4 linked regions of the Arabidopsis thaliana genome follow. The protein of the gene in region 2 interacts with the protein of the main gene of each other region in a pairwise test. Each region holds a gene or a part of one and is shown on either strand. Other genes may lie near its edges.

Region 1 (5,181 bases), about 16 Mb from region 2:
TGTGGATTTGATTGTACCTCTCTACTCATCAGTATAGATATAGATGCCAACAAACGAACAAGGAAGGACTTCGAGAAAGCTGAAAGAACAAAGGCTCTCCGTAATGTTGAAACGCCACTGAACTCAGTGAAGTGAATTTTAGACTGGACTGAACAGAGTGACAAATTGGAAAGGCACAGTCCTTCGTTGGTACAATATTCTTCTATTGCTTTACGATGTTGGAAAGGCACACTTAACATATAATGCAACTTGAAATGCTTTCTTTGTTGAAGAAGACAGATAGACAGTATTGGTCAGACAAGCCCCTGCCCCGACCCTATGCCAAAGAGAGCAGCTAACATCTACTTACTGGGACATACATGTGACAGTTCTGTTCAGAATGCATTATTACAGGTTGTTTGGAAGAATGGTTTTTGTTCTTTACTCTTAGCCACCAGTAGTCTTATCTTCTGTAATTATGTAAAGAGATAGCTATGATTGACAAATGATCATGTTTTTTCCTGACTTTTTGTGGAGTGTCTTTGTTTGTTTAAGTTTCAGGTATCTGAGAATATCTTGTAGATAACCTAAATATTAGATTTTTGTATTGAAAACAAAAGATTGCGTATAGTTAGAACGTTTTGGGTTAATCAGCACTCCTAATCTTGTACATCTATCTATCCATCTCTCTTTATTGAAACTGAACCTAAAGCATCTGTATAAAATCTGAGTAACATCCATAAAGAAAAAACCCTTTTAACAAAGATATCTAATTACATTTGACTTATGGTGCAGTTTCATGTTGTGTTGTGCAGGTCATCTCTTATGGAAGAAGAAGAAGGAGAAGATGAAGCAGAAAGACAAGACCGCGCAATCTTAGACTCTTTGTCTTTGCTATATGCCTTTTGGACATCATCCTTAAGCTCTCTATATCTCATTCTTTTCAATCTTCTTTCATGTGTAGATCCCTTCTCAAAATGGAAATCGTCGAGGATGTCGTCGTCTATATACTCAGCCATGTACTTATCTAGAACCTCTGAACCATATGGAAAAAACCTTCGACCAGTCTCAACTGCATTGTGAAACGGTAATGAAGTCAGTCAAGAGAAAATGAGCAACATAAGAAGATGAAGGGTAGACTTACAGAGAGCAAGCTTTTTGTTACCTGTTTTCATTAGAGCCACCATACGAGTAAGAAGTCTTTGGGTTTGCATATGAGGAGTTTCGTTTAAATCAACCTGACTCAAGTTTCCGGTTAACCCACTCGAAGGAGGTGACAAACCCGTGAACTCACTTGTACCTTCTACGTTACCAATGTCCATAGCAACTTTAGCTTCCGTTGGAAAGAACAACTGAGCAAGCCCCACTGCAAAAAAGGTAGAAGCTTTAACAAAAATGTAGTAAAGATACAGAAGAATTCAGTAATTTTCAGTCAATTACCTCTCTTTTCTAGGTACAACAGTCTCATCTGGAGATCTTCAGGCATAGAAATGGAACACATTGGTGTATCTAGAACCATGGGGTTCTTCCTGATTTCTCTTTCCAAGATATCGATGCATAACCTGGCTTTACTAGATTCACGCCCTTTAGCTGTTTTGGTATGATAATCCTTTGGATTTGTCAGTCTTCTTAATATATTAACTGCGCTACGTCCGTCAGATGTAAACTCAGATGCATTGGCGCCTTTATCGATAAGCGATATAATGATCGATGGCTCTCTACGCATCGCAGCAAAATGAAGAACCGTGTAACCCCGGGAATTCCTGTAGTTCACATCACCCATATCCAGAGCAAGAATCTCGGCAACAACTTTCGGATCACTATACACAACAGAATAATGCAGACCATTGGCTTGATCTAGAGTGATATCTGACTCAGTCAAAAGAAGCTTCACAAGCTCAACATCATCTGAATCCAAGGCCTTGAGAATTTTACCGATTCTTTCAAGCAATTTCTCCGAAATCTTGGGACTGGTTTCTTCGTCTTGCGGGGATATAAGTCGAAGCTGTTTAATCTTCTCTGCTACTTCGGGAGGAACTTCCTTTTCAATACAGAACCTGTAAAGATCTGACCTCGCCACTCTCTCAATACACTGATCAAGAAGCTGAGTCAACTTACAATTGAAAGCAACCATAAGAATGGGAAGAACATTCTCAACAAGGGTCTTCTCCACAAAGTTACAAAGCCGCCGCTGCAAGCACACAAACCTTTTAGTTCTCATTGAGGTCTATGAATTAAGAAACAAAGAGACCGAAGAAAAAAGAAGACTTTTCACACACCTGAAAAGATGAAACTAGCTCAGGCACTTGGAGAACAGAGGAAGCATACATCAATTGAACAACAAAATCAATGGCAGGTCGACAACAATCATGAGAACAAACTGGATCAACACAAGTCGAAACCTCCAATGGAAAAGGCTTTAATCTCCCAGTATATATATAACTCAAGAAATACAAGAAAGCTTCATGAGCAACAGCTCCATAAGGTAACATCTCTCTCAACTGATACTTTGGTTTCTCAGTTTTCGAAATTTTCTTTTCTTTCTTAAACAAATCTTGGAAAAACTTACTTCTTGCAGCTAAAATGCATCTATGAACACCAACTGGAACACCATCAACAATGATCTCTGCATCACTGTAATCACAATCTGAATTACTAAGAAGCTGCTCAAGATTGGAGCTGAGTTTGGTTAGACTAACAACTTCAGGATTAGAAGCTGAGCTTGATGAGAAGTGATTGGACCCAATAGAACCATAAGAGAAATGAGAAGATGTGAAACTCAAAGATGATGATGGCTCAGTCAAAGTAGCCATTTTCTCTTCTTCTTCTTCTTGTAGAATTATCAATCTTGCATGAAGATCAAGAAGATTACACAAGTCTGAAGATCGGTTTCAGATACAAAAGCCCTAAATTTACATTTCTAACAAGGAATCAACCAAACCCAGAACCAAAAGAGGAAAATTTGTACACTTGGGGATTTGAGTTATGAAACTATTACTCTTACACCTCTGATTCAATGTACCACAAAAAAAAGTCAAAAGGAAAGGAAGAAACTTTGGACAAGGAATCAAACAAAATTGGGAGAGAAAATAAACCCTAAGAGAATCTGACACAACCAAGGATATAGAGATTGAGATCTGCACAATCGTAAGAGATAAGATCAAAGAGAAGGCAAAAGAACCAAATTGAGATGTATCAAAGAGATAAAAAGGAAGAGAATTTAGAGGAAAAGTCAAGAAAGAAAGAGAGGTATATAAAGGATAAATGATGATGAAATTGAGAACAAACAGGACACAACAGGTGCAAGTGATGGTGAAAGAAAGAGACAGCTTCAATGTGAAGGAAGATACAGAGGAAACAAGAGAGTTAATATAATAGTTTTTTTTGTAAATTTAATAATATGAATTAATAAGCATTAGAATTAAAAACATGGTCTAATAAAGTGTATAAAGAAAGACTCAAATGAAAGTTGACAAATAGAAAACAAAGACTAGAAAAATCCGTGTATGATGCCAAAGGTTCTCCGTGTATGACGCCACTCACTAACATTTTCCACATCTTTCTCTAATTTAACAAATCTATGGATAAACACATATTTTTTTTCTCATCAAAATCACTATTTTTATTTGACTGCGATATATCACATCATTAATATATTTTTATTTACATCATATTATTCAATAGTTTTAATTTGTTTCTTAGGTGTAAATAACTTGTAATGATATGCCAATTAATGCCGTCACGAAATAGCATTAAGTCAAGAAGATTAATATTAAGAAATAGCCGTCACTATTGATGACGGAAGGAAGTGACGAAAGCAAATACGAACGGCATATGAATGACGTGGCTTGTGTGTGGATTGCTGCAATGTGATGACGTATTAAACAATTACACTTTCGGAATAGTAGATAAATCATAAAGTAATAGTAGAGATTATAATAGGCAATAGCTATGCCTATAGTGGTCCAAATTTTTATTAAATTTATAATTTTGTGATGACCAAAGTCATTCTTTGTGGCCTAGTTCCAAATTTTAAGACATAAATAACGTTTTGAAATGAATTGAATATAGATATGAGGGACGACAATTTTGTCTTGATTTTTTTTTTTAAAACAAGAAGATTCTTGGCTTCGTAACAAAGTGGTGAAGTCTCTTATGCTAGCATTCTAGTCGCGTCGGAAATTCGACTCTACCTACAAGGCTACAAATACAATCGGTGAAATGCGTTAGCTGACTATTAAAAAAAAAAAAACTCTTTAAGGATAGTCGTTGAATAGTTTATTCATCAAATTTTTATATGAAATAAAATTTAATTAGCATTATTTCGATTGGCAATGATTCCTATGATTAAATTTTCGACTTTCGGTAATGCTATCGAATATAGAATTCTAACTATAAATATATATTTTTAACAAAAAATAACATATAAGTGTAAACTTGGATAGTGACAATGCAACGTCACTAATACAAATCATATTAGTATATTACTTTGACTTAAACTATCAAATATACGCTAAGTTTTGGTCACTAGTGACGCTGCGTTACTTTGGTAAACCATATGTTAATTTGTATCTTTCGTTCACTAAGTATCACTAAATCATATATTAAACCATCAACGTCACTAATACAAATCATATTACTATGGCTTAAATCATCAAATATGCGATAAGTTTTGGTCACTAAATAATTATTTTATGTATTACTTTGGCTAAAACCATCAAATATTAACAAGACAAAAAAAAGTTTCCTACCAATTCGTTATTTAGATCAGAAGTTTTAACCCATTCAAATTTACAAATTTCTTACATAAACTAAGTATAACGATGTAACCCATAAAGCCTTGAACTCACACAAGATTGAGGACATATATATTGGTAGTTATTCAAAATTGTTATATCACTTTATGACTCAAAAACGTAATTTGTTTTGTTGATGTCAATGGATTGATTTCTTTTGTTTTCATGTTTTTTTCTTTTTTTGCCATAAGACCAAAAACTTCAGGCTTTACTTCATGAAAATCCTAACACTTTTCATTTTAGTGGAATATTTAAATTCTTAACAAAAAGACAAAAACAAAACTCATACAAGAGATAAATCATTCTAAAGAGGAGTGTAAACTAGTAAAGCGTGACCTAACACAAGAGATAAAAATCATTCTAAGAGGAATTGGAAACGAAACTTAACTTGATGAAACAATTAAAA
Region 2 (5,024 bases):
TTGCTTTTTATACAAATGTTTGTAGTTTACGATCAATTTCATCAAACTGGGACCAGATGGGGCTCTGGTCTGGGTTCTGCGGTAAAAGTAGTATGTTGTGACCGGACCAGACCAGCGTGTTCGTAAATTCAGTAAAACTCTTGAATGAAGAAAAATAGACTCTTAAGGTTTTTGGTGTGCGGCTCCTGCCTCCTGCTGACCCCATGATTTAATTAGTAATTATAATAATAAATCAACCTCTCTGATCATAATCTAGTCGGCTTATATTTTACAACTCTTAATAATTCTTAAGCATTCAAATAAGATTAATGATTAATTGACGGTTGAAATCCCATTTATGTTTAATATTTGACCAATGTTTCTTTTATGTATTTTGAGGATTGATGTTAATAGCGTCTATGAGAAACTCATACCGTGACGTGAACCAAGTTCAAACTATTGTGCAAAGAAATCCAAGGATTTGGATATAATACAAGTTGCTATAAATGCATGCGTAGACTATGCTTGATTGCTTTCGTTGTTTCTCTTCTCGTAATCATGAGCGACAACTCCTTTCAACTCATCCACTATTGTTTCTTTGTTATGTCTCATTTACATTCGCTTAGAAACTGAATGACTGTGTTTATAATTTGTAATGATATTGTACAAAACCAAAGTCACTGCTTCTCTTTAGTATCCTAATGCTTTTCAAATGTTACGGGACTTTTATGATTTCAAGATACATTCATTACACACAAACATTACAACACAAAACAGTATAATCATAATCTTGTATACGAGCTACGTGTCTAAAGTCGTCAAATCTTATGCTAAGAATCTCAAATTTTCTGGACCTTCGTTGAAGTATAATAGAGTCATGGTTCACTCTCTTGGTCTGGCAAGCCATAGAGAGCTAAGAGCACGTAACCGCAATGTATAATTGTGTACTGCAAGGAGAGCACGAGCCGATTGTCGGGTTGTTAATAGTCTCACCATCTGTTGATATGTTTGTAGCCTTAAGTTATCAGCCTGCCACAAACAATAAGATGGTTCTATCAACTGACTGCAAAATACTTTTTTCATTTGATGTTAAACAACAAAATTGTAACGTACCTGGCGGATAAATCCTTCAAGGGTACCTAACTTCCCCATCGCCATGGCCATCTGACCCATGTAGCTAGCTACATTCCCTGATGAACTTGAACCGAGAGTCCCACTCGATAAAGTATCAGCGAGTGATTGCTGTAAGTTGTCCATCCCTTGAGACAAAGCATCTTCTGCTTGCTGAGAAGACTGTTGCAAGTTATTTATGTCTAGCGATTGTTGTTCTGTCAAGGGCTCCAACTGACTCGCTATAAGCTGTAGTAGAGAAGTAAAAAGTTTGGAAACTTGCTAGTGAAGAGACCAAATAAACCGAACCTGGTCGTGTGTTTTTTACCTTGAGAAGTTCTGATGAACGGAAACCGCCGAGCCACAAGAAACATCTCTCAGCTGGGGTTTTCCACATCCCTGATAATAAATGGAAGACATCACTCTTAGCTGCGTTGCCTTTTATCCTGTAAAGCTCCTCATAGTGAGCTATTACTCCATCTACAATTATCCGAAGCTCAGAATCAGTCGCGTGAGAATCTATAGCAGAACTCAGCTCCTTCATCTGTCTGTTTTTATCTTCCTGCCATCGTCTGTATTCTACATCAAATGCCATTGCCCCTGTAAAAGAGAAGCATTCATAAAAAATTATCTCACAAGAAAGTGATCAACACCATCAACCAAACTAGTGCTTGCTCTACTTTATAACCAACAAAACTAAAATTTTCAACCACATCATCAATAAATGGTTATGAATTATGATTCAGCTAACTCACCATCTCCAGCGGTAGAATGGGCTTGGTCTCCAGAGCTTGAGATAAAGACACCCTAAGATTAAGAGAAAAATGTTATGTATGCAACAGAGCAAATATCTACACAAATATAGCTGAACAAAGTTAAAACCTGTTGCCGTGCTCTTTGTAGCTCCTGCTCAAGTTGTGTTAGCTTCAATCGACTGTTCTCTAGCTGCTGAACATATGCCTAAAAGTGCAGTAACCAACAAACATCTTAGAGTTTGCAAATAGCTATGCTTGTAAAAAACATAAAAGAATTGAAACTATGAACATAAATCTAAGCATACTTTCTTCCTCAATCTGCTTTTCCTTGCAGCCTCACGGTTTTGAGCGAGCCTACGAAGCGTCTGTTGATTACAACAACAAACAAGAAAAACATAACTGAAAGGCTCAATGACAAAAACCAAACTCTTGCAAAATAGAGATGTTTATATTCACCTTTTGATCCATTTTACTCTTTGAACGGTCACTAGAATCAGAAGCACCGATACCCAAATGCCCTTCATCGAACTGCATAAATACTGTTTTATTTCAAAACTTTGGCCATTTAATGAACATAAAGAAGCAAGACCTAGAAATTTTACAAGCTAACCATTAGGTTATTATGATCAGTGTCTCCATCTGTTGAGACTGATGTTCTTGGACTAGTATCTCCCATTTTTCTTTTTCTTCAAAATCTCTGTTACTAAATCATCAGATAAAAACCGATCCAATCGTGGTACCCTAGATGGAGTAAAGACTGTCAAAAGTAAGATGGTAAACATAAACAAAAGATTAGAGTTATAGAGAAAGAAAACATATTTTTAAGCCAAAAACCAACGCATTAAGTAGAATCAAGAAAGTGGAAACAATGATACGATACATCACCCTATTTATGTCACACTAACATAAAGATCCAAACCACTAAACTTAACACATAGCTGTGAAGCAACCAATGACCTCAAGAACTTTGAGTATTCAAAGCCAGAGAATCAAAGTAAACAATAAGCACGCCTATATGATTTGAAATGAGAACCAACGGACTTCTATAGCGTAAAGCTCTCCGTGAGGTGAAACAGTAACTAATCTGAACATTAGACTGAAGTAGAGCTAAAAGATTCAGAATTTAGCAAACTAGCCCCGGAAACAGAGTAAAAGACACAAAATTCAAGCTTCATAACATCAAATCTCAACCAATTCGTTTAAATAGTGTCCGAAATAATGATTTTGGATCCTTAACACGTACATAAAGCAAAAAGGAAAAAATTCCCTCAAAGGTCAAAATCTTCAATGGAAAAAAACAATCATGAAAGCAGAGGCAGAATAAGAAAACTGAAGAACTAAAACCCCTAAGACTATTGAAGAAGAGACTCACCTGAAAAGAACGGATTCTTTGAGCTTAACCCCAAACAAAAGTTGCTCGGAGAAAAAGCGATTTAGAGAAAGATCCGGAAAATTCCAATCTACAACTGCAAAGACGTGGTCTTTGTCTAAAACCCACAACAGATATAGTATCAATCACCAACAAAGGTTACTACTTTTGTATCTTCCTTCTTTGAGGTATTTTTAGTTGTACGATCTTCTTTTTTTTTATTTTGCCGGTCTCTGAAAAAAAACAGGAATGGAAGACGAAACTCAAGTGATGGTGGACCTCTAGATGCTGAGGGTTAAAAAGTCCTCTGAAAATTGCAACACTCTCTTTTTTCTAAAAACAAAATAATTCTTGGTTTTGACAATGACATGTCCCTTTTTTTATTACAAAAAAATCTATCACACTTACTTTGAATGTAAATTCATTTTCATCATCTCTTGGAAGTTTACATTAGAATCCTCACTAAATAAGATTTAAGACACAAGCGATGAAACTACAAAACTCAAATAGAACATCTTAATATTGTTAAATGATTACAGTACAGAAGTTGCAAGGTTAAAACACCTTTACCACACACAAAAGTAACAAAAAAAAACAAAATTCAATAACCTTTCTAAGATAATCGAAGATGCTATATAAACAACATTGAACTTTTCAAATGCTAAATTAAAAACTGATGACTACAACTAAAACAACATGAATTACCACAACCATGTAGAAGAAACCTACATACAAAGAGTCTTTTGTTTCCCAGAAATTTGCTTATTTGTTGATGGATTTGGTAAGAAGAATCTGACAAGTGTTGATTAATAGTCTCTCCTGGTTTTGTGTCCATATGGATTTTGTACAGCTGACATGTGACCAAAATACAGTTTCACTCTCTGGGTCGAGCAAGCCATAAGGAGCTTAGAGCTCGTAGCCGTGAGAAGTAATCGTGTATTGCAAGTAGAGCACGTGCTGACTGTCTCGTTGTTAATACTCTTATCATCTGTTGCAATGTTTGTAGTCTCAAATTATCAGCCTGCCACCACCAACCAAGAGACGATTATTAACCTATTGATATATATATATACTCTTAACTAAGATATCATCTCAAAACATCACAAGTGTTGTACCTGGCGGATAAATCCTTCGAGTGTACCTAACTTTCCCATTGCCATGGCCATCTGACCCATGTAGCTTGCGACATTCCCTGATGAACTTGAACCAAGAGTCCCGCTCGATAAAGTATCAGCTAGTGACTGTTGTAAGCTCTCCATCCCTTGAGACAAAGCATCTTCAGCCTGCTGCGATGTCTGTTGCAGGTTATTTATGCCCATCAACTGTCTCTCTGTCATTGGCTCCAACTGATTCGCCAGAAGCTGTTTCAACACATTTTTCCCTATGACCATTCTTTTTATGTTCTATGTAGAAACAGATGCAATCGGTGAAGACAAAGTGAAATTTGACCTCACCTTTAGAAGTTCGGATGAACGAAATCCACCGAGCCACAAGAAACATCTCTCAGCTGGTGTTTTCCACATGCCAGATAGCAAGTGAAAGACATCATTCTTAGCTGCATTGCTCTTTATCCTGAAAAGCTCCTCATAGTGAGCCATCACACCATCGACTATTATTCGAAGCTCAGAATCACCTGCATGCGCATTCAGAGCAGACCTCAGCTCGTTCATTTGCTTGTTCTTTTCTTCCAACCACCGTGAATGTTCAGCATCAAACGCCAAAGCACCTGAATTAAAAAATTTATACATGATCAAAACAAACCCATGAGATTCGTCATCTTGTAAATCTAAATCTACACCAGTGCTAATTAG
Region 3 (5,019 bases), on a different chromosome or scaffold from region 2:
TTTGGATTCAGAGCATCATATTTTTCCTTTACACATTTTAAAAATCAAAATCCCTTGTAATACAAATTGAACCTAAAGCCAAAATGGGATCTTCAATCTTTTCAAAGGAACTATCTCTATTCTCTAGTTCCTGTTTTGCTATCAGAAGCAGGCTTAGATTTTGGTATTGAGATTAATTCAACACGAGGATCTTTCCCCTGAGAAAGTGCCTGTTTAGTAATTCTCTTGCAAGAAGCTTGAAAATCTTTTAACTAGCTTAACATTTTTCTTGTGCTTCTCGTTCTGCTCAATCGTTGCTTCGATTTCACTTCCATATATTACAATTTTCTGACTAAAGAAAGAAGCAAAGCAAAAAGGAAAGGTTTTGCTTTATACATTTCAAAAATCCATCTCCTTTAATACAAAATCAAACCTAAACCATGTAATAAACCTGAATACCAAAATGGGATCTCCACTGTTTTCTAAACCAAAACCTATAAAATAGCTAATTTCTTCCAAGGAACTATCTCTAGTAGCATTACTTATCTGGGACAAGATCATGTTGGATTCTCTAAGGCTTCTCTAAGAGAAGAAGCTGGTGATGAAGAAGAAAGACAAGACCGCGCGACTTTGTCTTTGCTATATGCTTTTTTAACGTCGTTCTTCAGCTCGTTATATCTCATCCTCTTCTGTCTTCTCTCTTTCACAGTGCCTTTCTCGGGATACGACATATCAGGGATTTCTTCGTCCATATACTGATCCATGTACTTATCCAGAACCTCATAACAAGATGGGAAGTATCTCCGACCTGTCTCAACTGCGTTGTTGAACGGTTTCGAATCAGTCAATCTTGTGGTCAGAGAATAAAACTTGAAAGTACATTTCCTTAAGCTTTTACCTGTTTTCATGAGGGCTTTCATACGTGTAAGCATTCTTTTCGTTTGCACATAAGGCGTTTCATTTAAATCGACTTTACCCAAGTTTTCAGTTGTATCATTTGATGGAGGTGGAGTTAGAAGACCTGTGCACTCGCTTGTCCCTTCAACATTAGCAACGTCCATAGCCACATTGGCTTCTGCTGGGAAGAACAACTGAGCAAGTCCCACTGCAATGACACATACAAGAATTCAATAAAGAGACATCAACCTTAAGCTATGAGAAATATATATATCGACTAGGTCAATACCTCGCTTTTCTAAGTATAACAACCTCATTTGGAGATCCTCGGGCATCGAATGGGAACAAGTGGGTGTATCCCCACTAACCAATGGATTCCTTCTAATTTCCCTTTCCAAGATATCGATGCATAAGCGGTATTTACTAGGTTCTTTCCTTGAGGTTTTGGTATGATAATCTTTCGGCCTAGTGAGTCTCCTACATATATTTACCGCACTGCGTCCATCAAACGTGAAATCTGAAGCATTAGCTCCTTTTTGAATAAGTGGTATGATAATTGTTGGCTCTCTACGCATAGCAGCAATATGAAGAACCGTATACCCCCTGGAATTTCTGAAATTAACATCAGCCATATCTAGATCAAGAACCTGTGTCACAACTTTCGGATCACTGTATGCCACTGCATAATGTAGACCATTGGCTTGGTCTAGAGTTATATCTGACTCAGTCAAAAGAAGCTTCACGAGTTCTACATCATCTGAATCCAATGCCTTGAGTACTTTCCCTGTTCTCTCTATCGATTTATCCTCCACCTCGGGTATGTTCACCGACTTAACTCGAAGCTGTTTGATTTTTTCCAATACTTCTAAAGGAAGCTCCTTTTCGATACAGAATCTGTCTAAGTCTGATCTCGCCACTCTCTCAATGCATTGATCAAGAAGCTGTGTCAAATCACAATGAAACGCAACTAAGAGGATAGGAAGAACATTCTCTACTAGTGACTTCTCAACATAGTTACGAAGCTTCCGCTGCAGACACAACAACACACAACATTACAGCCTTGACCAATCAAGAACAGATTATTTACCAGCAAAATCACAAAGAAACTTTATCTCAAACCTGAAATGACGAAACAAGATCCGGGATTTGGAACACAAATGAAGCATACATCAACTCAACAGCAAAATCAATGGCCGGTTTACAAGAATCATGAGCACAAACTGAATCAACACAAGTTGAAACCTCGATAGGAAAAGGCTTTAACCTCCCAGTGTAGATATAGCTCAAGAAATGCAGAAATGCCTCACGTCCCACATTTCCATATGGTAATAAATCTTTCATTTGATACTTAGGTTTCTTCTCACTACTATCTTTATCTTTCTTAAACAGATCAAGAAAAAACTTGCTCCTAGCAGCTAAAACACATCTATGAACACTCACAGGGTTAGCTTCTTCTTCAATGATGATCTCTGCGTCAGTGTAATCGCAATCTGGATTAGTGAGAAGCTGCTCCAAGTTAGAGCTGAGCTCTTCAAGATTAGCAGCTGAGTGATAAGTAGTAACAACAGGAGAAGGGTTTGATAAGTGAGAAGATGTGAAACTTATAGATGAAGATGGCTCTATTGCAGTTGCAGCCATTTTGTTCCCCAGAAGTATCACTCAAAGACTCTGTTTTTGATCTTCAAATCCCCAAGGATACAAAAACCCTAAATCTAAATCCAATGACAAGGATCAAATTTTGAGAAGTGATTGGATCAAAAACAATACAGAGAAGATCATAGATATGAAATTAATCAAGCCCTGAAGAAAAGATCCAAACTTTATGAAAGAACATTCTAATGAATCAATGTGAAGAACAAAGTCAATTCGAGAAATGCTTCAAAAAGTCAACGAAAATGGCGGATGAGAAAAAAAAACTAAATGAAACTTAAATCATAAGAGAAAGAACTGAATAGATGGGTAGTCTTCAAAATCATTGCACAAATGAAAAAGATTTCAAGAAGAAGAAGACAATCTCAGAACAGATGGGAGAAAAAAATCAGAGGTTTATCTAAAAGCTAAAGGTGAGAAATAAGAAGACTGACCAAATAGTAAAGTCTTTGGAGAATAGTAAAGAAAGAGCCAATTCCTAATCCAATCTCCTAAATTTTGTGACGACGATTCAAAAACCGTAAGCAATGTCGTCAGCAATTGAAGACGACTTGAGTTGTGGTGAAGTGGGTCTATGACGTCTTAAATAACGTCAGCTTTGAGAAATATACACAAAATGCTAAGTAGATTGATGATAAGTGGACCCTTTCTAATAAGGTCATAACTTATAAAATGGGTTATGTTATGTCTACACAAAAACTCAAGATAATGCAAGAGTAGATTGATGATAAGTGGACCCTTTTTAATGGGTTCTGTATTTTATTTGAAGAGCATGAATAATTGAATTTATCAAACTTTTTCTTTACTTGGTAGTTGGTATATATATGATGATGCTAACCAAGTTCATTTTGATTAGTTCTTCAACCAAATTTTGGTAGATTAAATATCATAACATAACACTGAATATAAAAGAGTGTTAATCTTTCTTGCAGGATTTGTAGAATGGAGATGAGCAAACTCTTCTTCTTATAATTGCAAATAGTTTCATCACAATTCGTTTGTTTGAGTTCATCAAGAATCTAAAACCCTCCCAACAATTACTTTCGAGAGTGAGATACTCTCGTTTGGCCTCTCTGAACCAAACCAAGCCGGATCCTCAAGGCTATTAAATTACAATTCTACTACTTTCACTGGCTATTATACTCTTCATAGTAATCATCACTTATAACAGACACAAACCTCTCAAGCCAAGGAAGCTGATGAAGATCTTTCATTGCGGCTTCAACATATGATGACTCTGTACATGGAGGCGGCGGTGACTGATAAGTAGTATGGTGATCACTGAGACTAAACCCTCCACCTGCTAAGAACCTTTGGATCAGAGCAAGCTGAGATCTTTCTTGCTCTGAGTACGCGTCCATTACAGTTGGAATTGAGTTAAATGTGTCCCAAGGCCATTGCTCAACTTCTTGAATTGTGTTTTCCTCTACTGCGTTTTCTTGTTCTTCTTCATCATCGTCCCAAAAAGCACACGTGCAAGTCTGTTGCCCTTCTCTGTACTCTGCTCCACACGAGTAGCAAAACTCATGCCCGCATCTGCGGAAAACACAGAGAGTTTTGACATTTATATGCGTAAGAATCGCAAAAGAAACACTTGCTCTAGAATACTAGATTTAAACGTAGGCGAGAAAAAAAAAACCTTAGAATCATATGGTTATTACGATACCGTGATTCTGCAGTTAAAGGGTCAAGACTAACTATATTTTATTGGAAGTCAAAAACCTAACTTTGGTGGTTCAAATATGTATAGATACGGAAAACAATGTGTAGCCATAGATATATATGTGTGTCTTACCGGCAAGTCATGTGGTTGCAGCCTTGAGCAAGCTCGATCATTATACGGCATTGCTGACACCGCCTCCACCTCTTATACCTTGCCAAGCGATGCAATGTAATATCATCTGGGTATCTTTCATCAACTGGAAGAATCTGAAACTCTTCACAGCTCATAGAAGCATGCCAAGGAACACCACAGTCCACACACACAAACCTCTCACAGACTGGACACTCCACACAGCAGCTATTCTCTGACTGAGTAGACGAGCTTGAGCTAGCCCTTCCTGATGATAGACATTCTTGCGGGTCTAACAGAAAAGAGCAATTGGGATATGGGCAGTAAATCTTCCCATTGTTTTTACTACACACATTTGCTTCCTCGAATGATTTGAAAGTAGTGACGGGAAGGAACGATTTGCATTCCGCTGCTGAGAGATAATGCTTGCATTGCACTTGAGGACACCTGATGGGAACCTCTGAAGTCTTTACTTTCCCTTCAACGTACGTTTTCATGCAGTGCGAACAGAATTTGTGAGTGCATTTCAATGATAGCATCATCTCAGACTGACGGTCTTCACAGCAGATCGAGCAGTTCTCGATCGGTTTATCCCCATCAAGATTAGAAGACACGATTCCTACCGCTACTTGAGCCAAGCTTAGAGCTTCATCAAGATCACAGAAAGGAGCAAGCTTTAGAACAAACCCATTAAGGTTACT
Region 4 (7,913 bases), on a different chromosome or scaffold from region 2:
TCTGATCCGAACTTGAGTTGTTAGCCGCTGATGAACTAGACGGCCGTCCATTTTCAGTCCCTGCTTTATCTGAACCAGCTGCGACGCCAACACCCCATCTTCTAGAAAGTTCTGATGGCTCAATCACTTTAACCGAACCATCAGACAGTCCAACCGCTAATTGATTCGGTTCTTGTGGATGAGCTGTGATCACCTGTGGGAAAATCGGTGCACTATCACAGAAGAAAAAGAAAGCATAATCAGTCCCAAAAAATCACAATGGTCAGATGGATGATATAAACTTTATATGAAGTTTGTAAAATACGGTACCTGTTTGGTGTAGGTTGAGGCATGTAGGCTGATGGGGCAATGCGGCATCTGAGTCTCAAGGATTCAGCATCAAAGACTGCAATGTTTCCATCAGCGAATGACGCGTAAACCAGTTGGCTGTTGCATGAGTAAGATGCAGAGGTTATGGGCGAAGAGAGAGCTTCTTGGGGCACCCACTGCACAAGGAATGAGAATTTAAGGTTTCTTATAATCATTCAAGATCTCCAAGTAAATACAAAGATTTTTTACGATACCTTATGAATGCATTCCATCTTCGAAGCATCGTAAATGGCGAGCTGTGTCTCATGTGAAACCAATAACTGGATTTGGTCGTTGTGGAATTGGACTCGTGTGTCGCCTACTGGTGCTTTGCCAGGTGGTAGCTGTATCGCTGAAGATTTCTTTTTCTCCCACGAGTCAGCGGTCCAGAAGAAGAGCTGTAATAAAGAGAGTTAACGAGTCTGTTAAGTTACAAGCCAACATGGACACGAAAAGCTCCAATAGCATCTAAGAAACATGAATTTTGTCTTACCTGAGCATCGGCACCAGAAGAGACAAGAATATTGAGCGCGGTAGAGAATGCTAGACCAGTTATGTGCTTCTGGTGACCTTTCAACTTTGTTTTCACCTATAGATTAAAAGAGATTACATTACAAATTCATTTAAGAGATGAATCAGCAGTTACACCAGTAAAAACCAGTAGACCGCAGAATAGAACAAATGTACTATACCTCATCTACCCTGACGTTGTAAATATGTATACTCGAGTCCTCCATCCCGATTGCAATAATATTATTATCTTGAGGATGAAATGCCAAGAAAGTTGAAGCTGGTGGCGGTGGCATGAAAGTTGTCATTACCTGCACGAAAGGGAAAAATGCATTTAGCTTCGCATATTACTCAAATAGTTTCATTAGCTCCTGAGGTATCAGTATTTAGGAGATGCTCCCGAGAACAGAAAAAGTTGGATTAAGCTGCTTACTTTGAAAGTCATCATATTGAATAACGAAACCTTTCCACCACAAGCTGACATTACGTATGAGTCATTCTTGGAAAGTGCTATACACGGAACACTCCCTTCAGGATTCTCGGGAACATCATTTGCCATTAGGAGACCGCTGTTTGGCTGCCAATGCTGTGGAGTTACACTAGCAGTTGCCTTCACAATAAAAGGACAAAATTTCAGACACTTATGCAAGAGAGCTTCAAACAAGTGACTCAACAACTCACATATATCAACAAACCACATGAGTGTAAAATTTGAAAGGTACAACGAATCACCTTCCCAGTTGGATTTTGCTCATTGCGGATCCACTTCCATAGTCTTTGAACACCATTTGATCCAAGAGCCAAAACACCAACGCCAGAATTTGTGTAAAGAAGCCGAGCAACCTTAAGGATTGACATAGCAGCAAAAGATTATTTCAAGATAATTATTAATGAAACAGAACAATTGATGGGCAATTTCAAGCTAAGACGGTAACAAACCTTGCTAACAGAGTCCTTGCTATCTGGCATTGTCACTTGTCGGCACTGAGTCGGATCAACAATTTCTGTGAGCTCTAAAGGTTTAGACTTATCAACAGAGTCCAAGTTTCTTGGCTTTTCCATAGTTCTTGACATTGCCTCAATTCCATTCTGCATAACACCAACAGAGACCACATATAAGGATTCTTATTGAAATAGGAAAAAATATATATATATATATTGAAAAAGATATACTAAAATTTAAATCATACAGGAATTGGGGTTGGCCTTGCAGGAGAGCCTGCGTCCATGTGTTCAATTTTACCAATAGCGGGGCTGATGCTTGAAGCCATTGCGGAGGTGGATACCTGAATCACCGGTATTGACACTCGAGTTAAACTGGACATAAGGCATGAGTAATAAAAATATTTCATGGATAACATAAAGAGTAATTATTCCAAGACCTTCATATCAATGGATGCTTTAGATGCTTCAAAAGACCGCGCTTCAAATGCTCTTAAGGTTCTGAGACCATCAGTATTTGCAAGGATCTTGAATCCATTATCTGCTGTAGTAACTGCAAGAAGATTCCCATCCTTGTTGAATCTCAATCGGGGTAGATTCTGAAATAAACGGTACATAGCATCAGTAAAGTAACAGGCTCGAGAATACAAAAGATTTTATATACAAGTAGCCAAGAGGAGTATTTTGGGCAAGAATGTCATACCGGAAGTCCACCTTCAGCCTCAACAACTGTCAAAAGATTTGTATTGTCCATGTTCCAGAATTTTATTTGATTGTCTTCACCAACAGCCAAGAAACGGTTACGGGTTGTATCAAACTGAACAACTCCAGCTGATTTCTTCCTAAAGCCTAAATATGTCCTCTTTAGGGCACCTTCACTCTCATTCCACTCGACGAGGAAAGAGTCTCCTTCTTTACTCGTCCCACAAGAAAATAGTCTGAAATCATAGCAGATATTTACTTGATAATGATATGAGCCTATATTTTGTTCAGAAGATTTCAATTTATGGCAGAGACATAATTTTGTTATACAACTCCAGAGCTTTTCAAATAACAATGATGTACCTGCTTCCATCAGCACTGTAGAGCATTGTTGTACACCACTGTCCCGGTGCGTCATAATCAACCCGAGAACCAACATTATCATAGAGCCACGCCTTGATCTTTCCATCAAGAGCGGTTGAGAATATAAACTGCATAGTAAAAAAAGAGAAAAATAAATTACAAGACAGCGAAAGGGAAAGTTTTTCAGGTCTTTTTAAACAAGAGATGCCTGCACCTGAATATTTTCCTTCTGGTGAGGGCAAATGGAATAAACTGGTGCCTCGTGCCCTTCAAAGGTGAAGAGCTTCTTCCCACTCAAATCCCACACCTAGGAAATATCATAATTAGACACGGGATAATAAAACTGAGTTCAGAGTCATCATAATCCTAACGTACCTTAATCAATTTGTCATCCCCACAAGTCACAACACACATTTGCTTATTTGGGTGGGCGAACGCCAAGTCATTCACACAGCCTACATGAGCATCAATCTAATCCACAGAAACAGATGATCGATTAAGTTTGGTGCAGATGCAAAGGCAAGAAACTAAGTACGAAAAGACAATTAAACATACCTCGAGGTGTTGACGTAGGTCTGAGCCTTGGTAAGCATATACATGGATCAGATGTTTAGTAAAAGAAACCCCTGTACATGGAAAATGTTACAAAGTTCAAACTTCGTGTCTACTTGAAATTACAACTATATATCTTTAAAACGTTTTTAGGAGAACAATCTCCATCTACCATACCAAGCAAGTTTCCATCTGGGCTCCATGCTACACGAGTGACGGATATCGATGGCTCTTTGACTATAGAACCCTGGCGAGAAAATGCCCGCACAACAAAATCATAGTTTATTAGCTTAGTTTTAAAGTATAGGATAGAACAGAACAGAACATAAATCACTCAAGGCTGGATTAGCTTAGTGTTAAAGTATGTTTCTAGATAATTTATCTTTATCAAGAAAATAAGTAAAAACGATGGAAGAAGAGAGAAACCTGGAAGATCACAGAACAAGCCGCCATATTCCATATCTTGAAAGGTTCTGTGACAACCTTTTCTCTGGATCCAACTTCCCACAAGGTGACTTCGCCGCTTGAACAACCAACTACGAGTAACAGACATATTATAACAAGAGCCAAATAAAAATCTCAACTCTACTAAGCTTTTCATGGTAGCAATGGACTAACCAGCGAGCAAAGTGTGATGAGAAGGGTGAAAATCCATGCTTATCACCACCGACCCTTGGCGAATTGTACTCACTACATTTCTAGGGAGGTCATCAAGTGACGCAGGGGGATGAGAATGAGCAGGATATGTGACCTGTGATTTGAAAAGTAGAGCCATCTACTCAACATCAAAGCGCACATTCCAAAAGCAACAAGAGTTTTGTTTGCTAGGTAAGCACTAAGCGTTTCAAAAACAAGGAAAACCTGAAGGCAATTACCTCGTTGGATGTTTGTGCAGACCGTAAGCGTTTCATGAGTTGCTCGTGATCAGCACTTTGATAATCCATTAATCCTAGAGAGTTAGACGGTGCCCGAGGGTGTTTCAGCTCATTAACTGTTGAGACGAAATACAGCAATAGAACTTCAGGTCTTAAAATTCATTTCCTAAAAACTCTAATATCACAAGTAAGAAAAAAAAACGAAAGATACCATAATATCCAGACACTTGTAAGTTGTGACATAAATTATACCTTGACTTGGCTGCATAGGAAATGGGGAAGCAGCGACAACACCAGATGGAACTGATGAAGAAGGATTTGGGTTTGCCATCCATCCAGCTAAAGCATTGGCATTAGGAGCCGGAGCAGGATTAGATTGAAAGGGCTGCACAGATACAGTTGTTTCATCAACCCTCAAAATATGAACATTAAGTTATATAATAGAATGGGTGGAAGTTAAGTAAGTGATCCTACTCCACCATGCACTCCAAGAGGAACAAAGTTTGAAGGTCTTGCAACAGCAGCAACTGGAAGATTGACAGGAGTGAGTGCACGAGCACCGTTTGATGGTGAGCAAGAGTGATCCAAGAACAATGTCTTGATGTCAGGATTAGGCCTTGGATTTTTACATAGCTGATGCTGCCAGTTTAAGCTGCAATGTCCCAAACACACTTGTCATACACTTTAACTAATCTCTATAAAAAAAGGAAAGAATTATGACTCCTCCTAGTTCACCTTTGATTGATCAAAGTTCGCAGGCGAGAAGCTTTGAAACTGGGGAAGGCTAGCTTCTCTCGAAACAGAGGATTCGCCTCAATCAATTTCTTCAACTCAGTATACATTATAGACCTTGCAGATTTAGTATCACCATATTTCGACAGTTGCTCATTTTCCCTAAGAAAAAAACACACTCTTCAACATTATCGTAACCACCTACCAAAACTTCAATAATATCAATGGCAAAGTAAAAAAAAAAAGAAACCTAAAATTCTCCAGAGTAAGCAGCTGAGTAATCTCCTTGTAAAGCTCCTCGTTAAATGTAGCGAAAACTTTCAAGTCTTTGGCTAATATCTCAACAGCTTTTGCTCTGTCATTTCTGTAATAAAAACACACAAATGTATCAAATCAACAACACTAGTCTAAATATCCGACCAAACAAGAAGAGAAATCATTACCGATCTAGAGCTTCGAGATACTTTTGCTTCCTAATCTCAAAGAAGATTTTCATAGAGTAACGATTATCATCGACTTTAGTGAAACCAGAAAGATACTTCTCCACTTCATCCCACTCTCCAGCAAGAGCTTTCTCTTCAAAGTACTTAATGTTAAAGAAGAAGCCAGATTCTTGCTCTAGCCTACACATCAACCAATTCCAAATTATACCCAAAATTACGCAGAGAAACCAAACAAGCACACAAAAACGACAAAGCACAAACTTACTTGTGAACAGATTCCTTGAACTTCTCCTCATCTAAGAACTGGAGAATTAAGAAAACTAACTCTCTGCTCAAAGACGACATTTTTTCCTAAAACTCTCAGAAGAAGAAATTCAAGGAATTTAAGCGATCTGGGTTTATCGTGAAAGAAGGGTAGGTCAAAGTTTGCGAAATCGATTTAGTCGTAGTTGAGAATGAGTTTTCTAGGGTTTCAAGGTTGCATTTCCTCGCGTCGCAAAGCGAACATTAAGAAAAAGCTGACCCCAGAGATGCTACAAAATTTCTATTTATATTTTTTCATTTAATAAAAAAGGAAAAAGATAAAGAAAAAAGTACGACTTGTTCTCCACTTTCTTCGATGCGTTTTGTCACACAGACTGTAGTTTGATAAGTTAACTAACTTATCATTGATAAGTGCTTTCGTTGTCGTATAAGTTGATAACCTCGTTTGGTTAAACTGTTTGGTCTGATCCCTTAGCTTAGGGTTTTTATCTGATGCGGGTGAGCCCACCGAAAGCAGATGTGGGATCTCAGAGTATTCTCCGTATCTGAATTGTATTGACACTTGTCGCGCTTGTGATGCATTTTTAGGTGGGGGTGCAAAGTAGTGGATTATAAACCCTTAGGTGGGTTACGTCACGCGGATTCGAAAAATGGAATTGAAGTGAATTGAGCAGAGTTTTACTGGCGTCCGCCACATGTTGTTGCCTTGTTAGGGGGAATGACGTGGTCTCGATATCTGCGTCTATCTCGTAGAAGTTTTCGTCAGAGCGTGAGAAATACGAGATACTTGCTCAGCTAGAGATTCTCGTAATAATATTAGTTGAGAGCGACTGCTAATGGCTGCGACCAAATCCAGCCAATAATTCTTTGTTTGATCGATATTATAATTAGTCTAATTAAATTATGTACGCAATGCCATAAACAAAACATATGAACATATTTTAAAAAACATTTAAAGTGTGACTGATGGATCATCTTAGTTTTTTTTTTTTTAAGTAATGATTTTCATAGTGTTATAAACATCTAAGAGAATTCATCATCAATTAACAAATCTAAGAGAATTCAAGTCCTAACAATACTATTGGTCAAAAAGTTCATGATTATGTTTTCTCCTATGTTTTTGGAGCATATGAGGATAACTAGAAAAAACAAGGTTACTGTAACCATTTTTATGTATATAACAAGACAGAAAAGAAACTTGAAATTTAATTACACAAACTCTCTAATGTTTCCACATGGTGCTAATCATTTGTTTTTGCTATACGATCAAATACAAAAAATGTATTGGTCCCACATTAAGAGGCCGACTTGATAACTGAAGCCCAGGTTTAGCCCAGTGAGTTGTGTCTTCAATTGCTGTTACATATATAGCCGGAAGGTACGAAAAGAGTTGTAGAAGCTTTGACCTAACTTGGAGATGAGAGATTCAACAATGGCGATGTCCGATCTTCCCCGAGATTTGGAAGAGGAAGTGCTCTCTAGGGTCCCGTTAGCATCTCTTAGAGCAGTGCGAACTAATTAATCGAATATGGTTGCCTCGCTCTTGACATAATAATGGTTTGATCATTAATTTGTATGTCAGACCATTATTATTCACTTAGTATGTAATCTCTCGTTGGCTCTTCCAATATTTTTTTGAAACAGCCGAATACATCTTAGACACTTTTTTCCTTAGAAGCTCTCTTTAGCATTGCTATTTAGATGAAAATAAAGAAGTTCTGTATTGTCCATGATACAATTGTTGTTCTCTTTGCATATGAAAAACAAAAAAATGACTTTATAACATGTTTGTGTAACACATGAGCTTGAAAGCAAAGGAAATAGATGCTTTTTACCAGCTACCAGAATTGATATGTCCACTCTCTTTAAATCAACATATCGGGTCCGATTGGTGACCTATAAATGAATACAAGGAATGAAGAAGAACATGACTAAAAAAGAACAAACAGGAAAAGAAAAAATGATAAAATAGGAATGAAAAGGAATGGATATAAAGGAAAAATAGAACAAATGTTACTGTAAATGATAACCAAAACATAGAATAAATAGTAACAAAAATTAAAAAATAAATAAATTATTTTTCAAATTAAATATTAAATATAAAACGAACATAAATTTAATTTTTATTTAATAAATATTTAATTTTTTTTCCTGTTTGTTCCTCATCAAATTTGGGAAGGAA

Evidence for each region.
Region 1: the proteins of OBF5 (region 2) and NPR3 interact in binary tests that used the Arabidopsis thaliana proteins (3 or more experiments, as listed by UniProt).
Region 3: the proteins of OBF5 (region 2) and NPR4 interact in a two-hybrid assay, tested with the Arabidopsis thaliana proteins (2 studies listed by BioGRID).
Region 4: the proteins of OBF5 (region 2) and TPR2 interact in a two-hybrid assay, tested with the Arabidopsis thaliana proteins (one study listed by BioGRID).

The regions. Positions count from the first base shown.
Region 1 is NC_003076.8:18,226,930-18,232,110, reverse strand, and holds NPR3 (NPR1-like protein 3), read right to left. Parts: upstream 3,344-5,181; 5' UTR 2,793-3,343; coding exon 2,259-2,792; intron 2,171-2,258; coding exon 1,420-2,170; intron 1,346-1,419; coding exon 1,145-1,345; coding exon of another isoform or gene 1,080-1,144; exon of another isoform or gene 1,052-1,079; coding exon 777-1,051; 3' UTR 533-776; downstream 1-532. UniProt on the Arabidopsis thaliana protein: Salicylic acid (SA)-binding substrate-specific adapter of an E3 ubiquitin-protein ligase complex (CUL3-RBX1-BTB) which mediates the ubiquitination and subsequent proteasomal degradation of NPR1 in response to SA.
Region 2 is NC_003076.8:2,153,238-2,158,261, reverse strand, and holds OBF5 (OCS-element binding factor 5), read right to left. Parts: upstream 3,517-5,024; 5' UTR 3,217-3,516; intron 2,602-3,216; exon of another isoform or gene 2,586-2,601; 5' UTR 2,521-2,585; coding exon 2,455-2,520; intron 2,384-2,454; exon of another isoform or gene 2,379-2,383; coding exon of another isoform or gene 2,373-2,378; coding exon 2,301-2,372; intron 2,210-2,300; coding exon 2,150-2,209; intron 2,050-2,149; coding exon 1,972-2,049; intron 1,897-1,971; coding exon 1,845-1,896; intron 1,690-1,844; coding exon 1,418-1,689; intron 1,339-1,417; coding exon 1,093-1,338; intron 1,009-1,092; coding exon 862-1,008; 3' UTR 543-861; downstream 1-542. Other genes in the region: AHBP-1B (bZIP transcription factor family protein), read right to left, coding at 4,088-4,234, 4,329-4,574, 4,668-4,939.
Region 3 is NC_003075.7:10,695,730-10,700,748, forward strand, and holds NPR4 (NPR1-like protein 4), read right to left. Parts: upstream 3,064-5,019; 5' UTR 2,515-3,063; coding exon 1,996-2,514; intron 1,905-1,995; coding exon 1,166-1,904; intron 1,085-1,165; coding exon 537-1,084; downstream 1-536. Other genes in the region: AT4G19670 (RING/U-box superfamily protein), read right to left, coding at 3,654-4,062, 4,322-5,019. UniProt on the Arabidopsis thaliana protein: Salicylic acid (SA)-binding substrate-specific adapter of an E3 ubiquitin-protein ligase complex (CUL3-RBX1-BTB) which mediates the ubiquitination and subsequent proteasomal degradation of NPR1 in the absence of SA.
Region 4 is NC_003074.8:5,729,608-5,737,520, reverse strand, and holds the start of TPR2 (TOPLESS-related 2), read right to left. Parts: upstream 6,003-7,913; 5' UTR 5,813-6,002; coding exon 5,733-5,812; intron 5,648-5,732; coding exon 5,468-5,647; intron 5,389-5,467; coding exon 5,275-5,388; intron 5,187-5,274; coding exon 5,028-5,186; intron 4,945-5,027; coding exon 4,767-4,944; intron 4,678-4,766; coding exon 4,545-4,677; intron 4,409-4,544; coding exon 4,293-4,408; intron 4,169-4,292; coding exon 4,036-4,168; intron 3,954-4,035; coding exon 3,844-3,953; intron 3,665-3,843; coding exon 3,595-3,664; intron 3,492-3,594; coding exon 3,421-3,491; intron 3,337-3,420; coding exon 3,241-3,336; intron 3,173-3,240; coding exon 3,080-3,172; intron 2,994-3,079; coding exon 2,866-2,993; intron 2,739-2,865; coding exon 2,504-2,738; intron 2,400-2,503; coding exon 2,241-2,399; intron 2,145-2,240; coding exon 2,049-2,144; intron 1,948-2,048; coding exon 1,798-1,947; intron 1,702-1,797; coding exon 1,591-1,701; intron 1,469-1,590; and 11 more. UniProt on the Arabidopsis thaliana protein: Transcriptional corepressor. Negative regulator of jasmonate responses.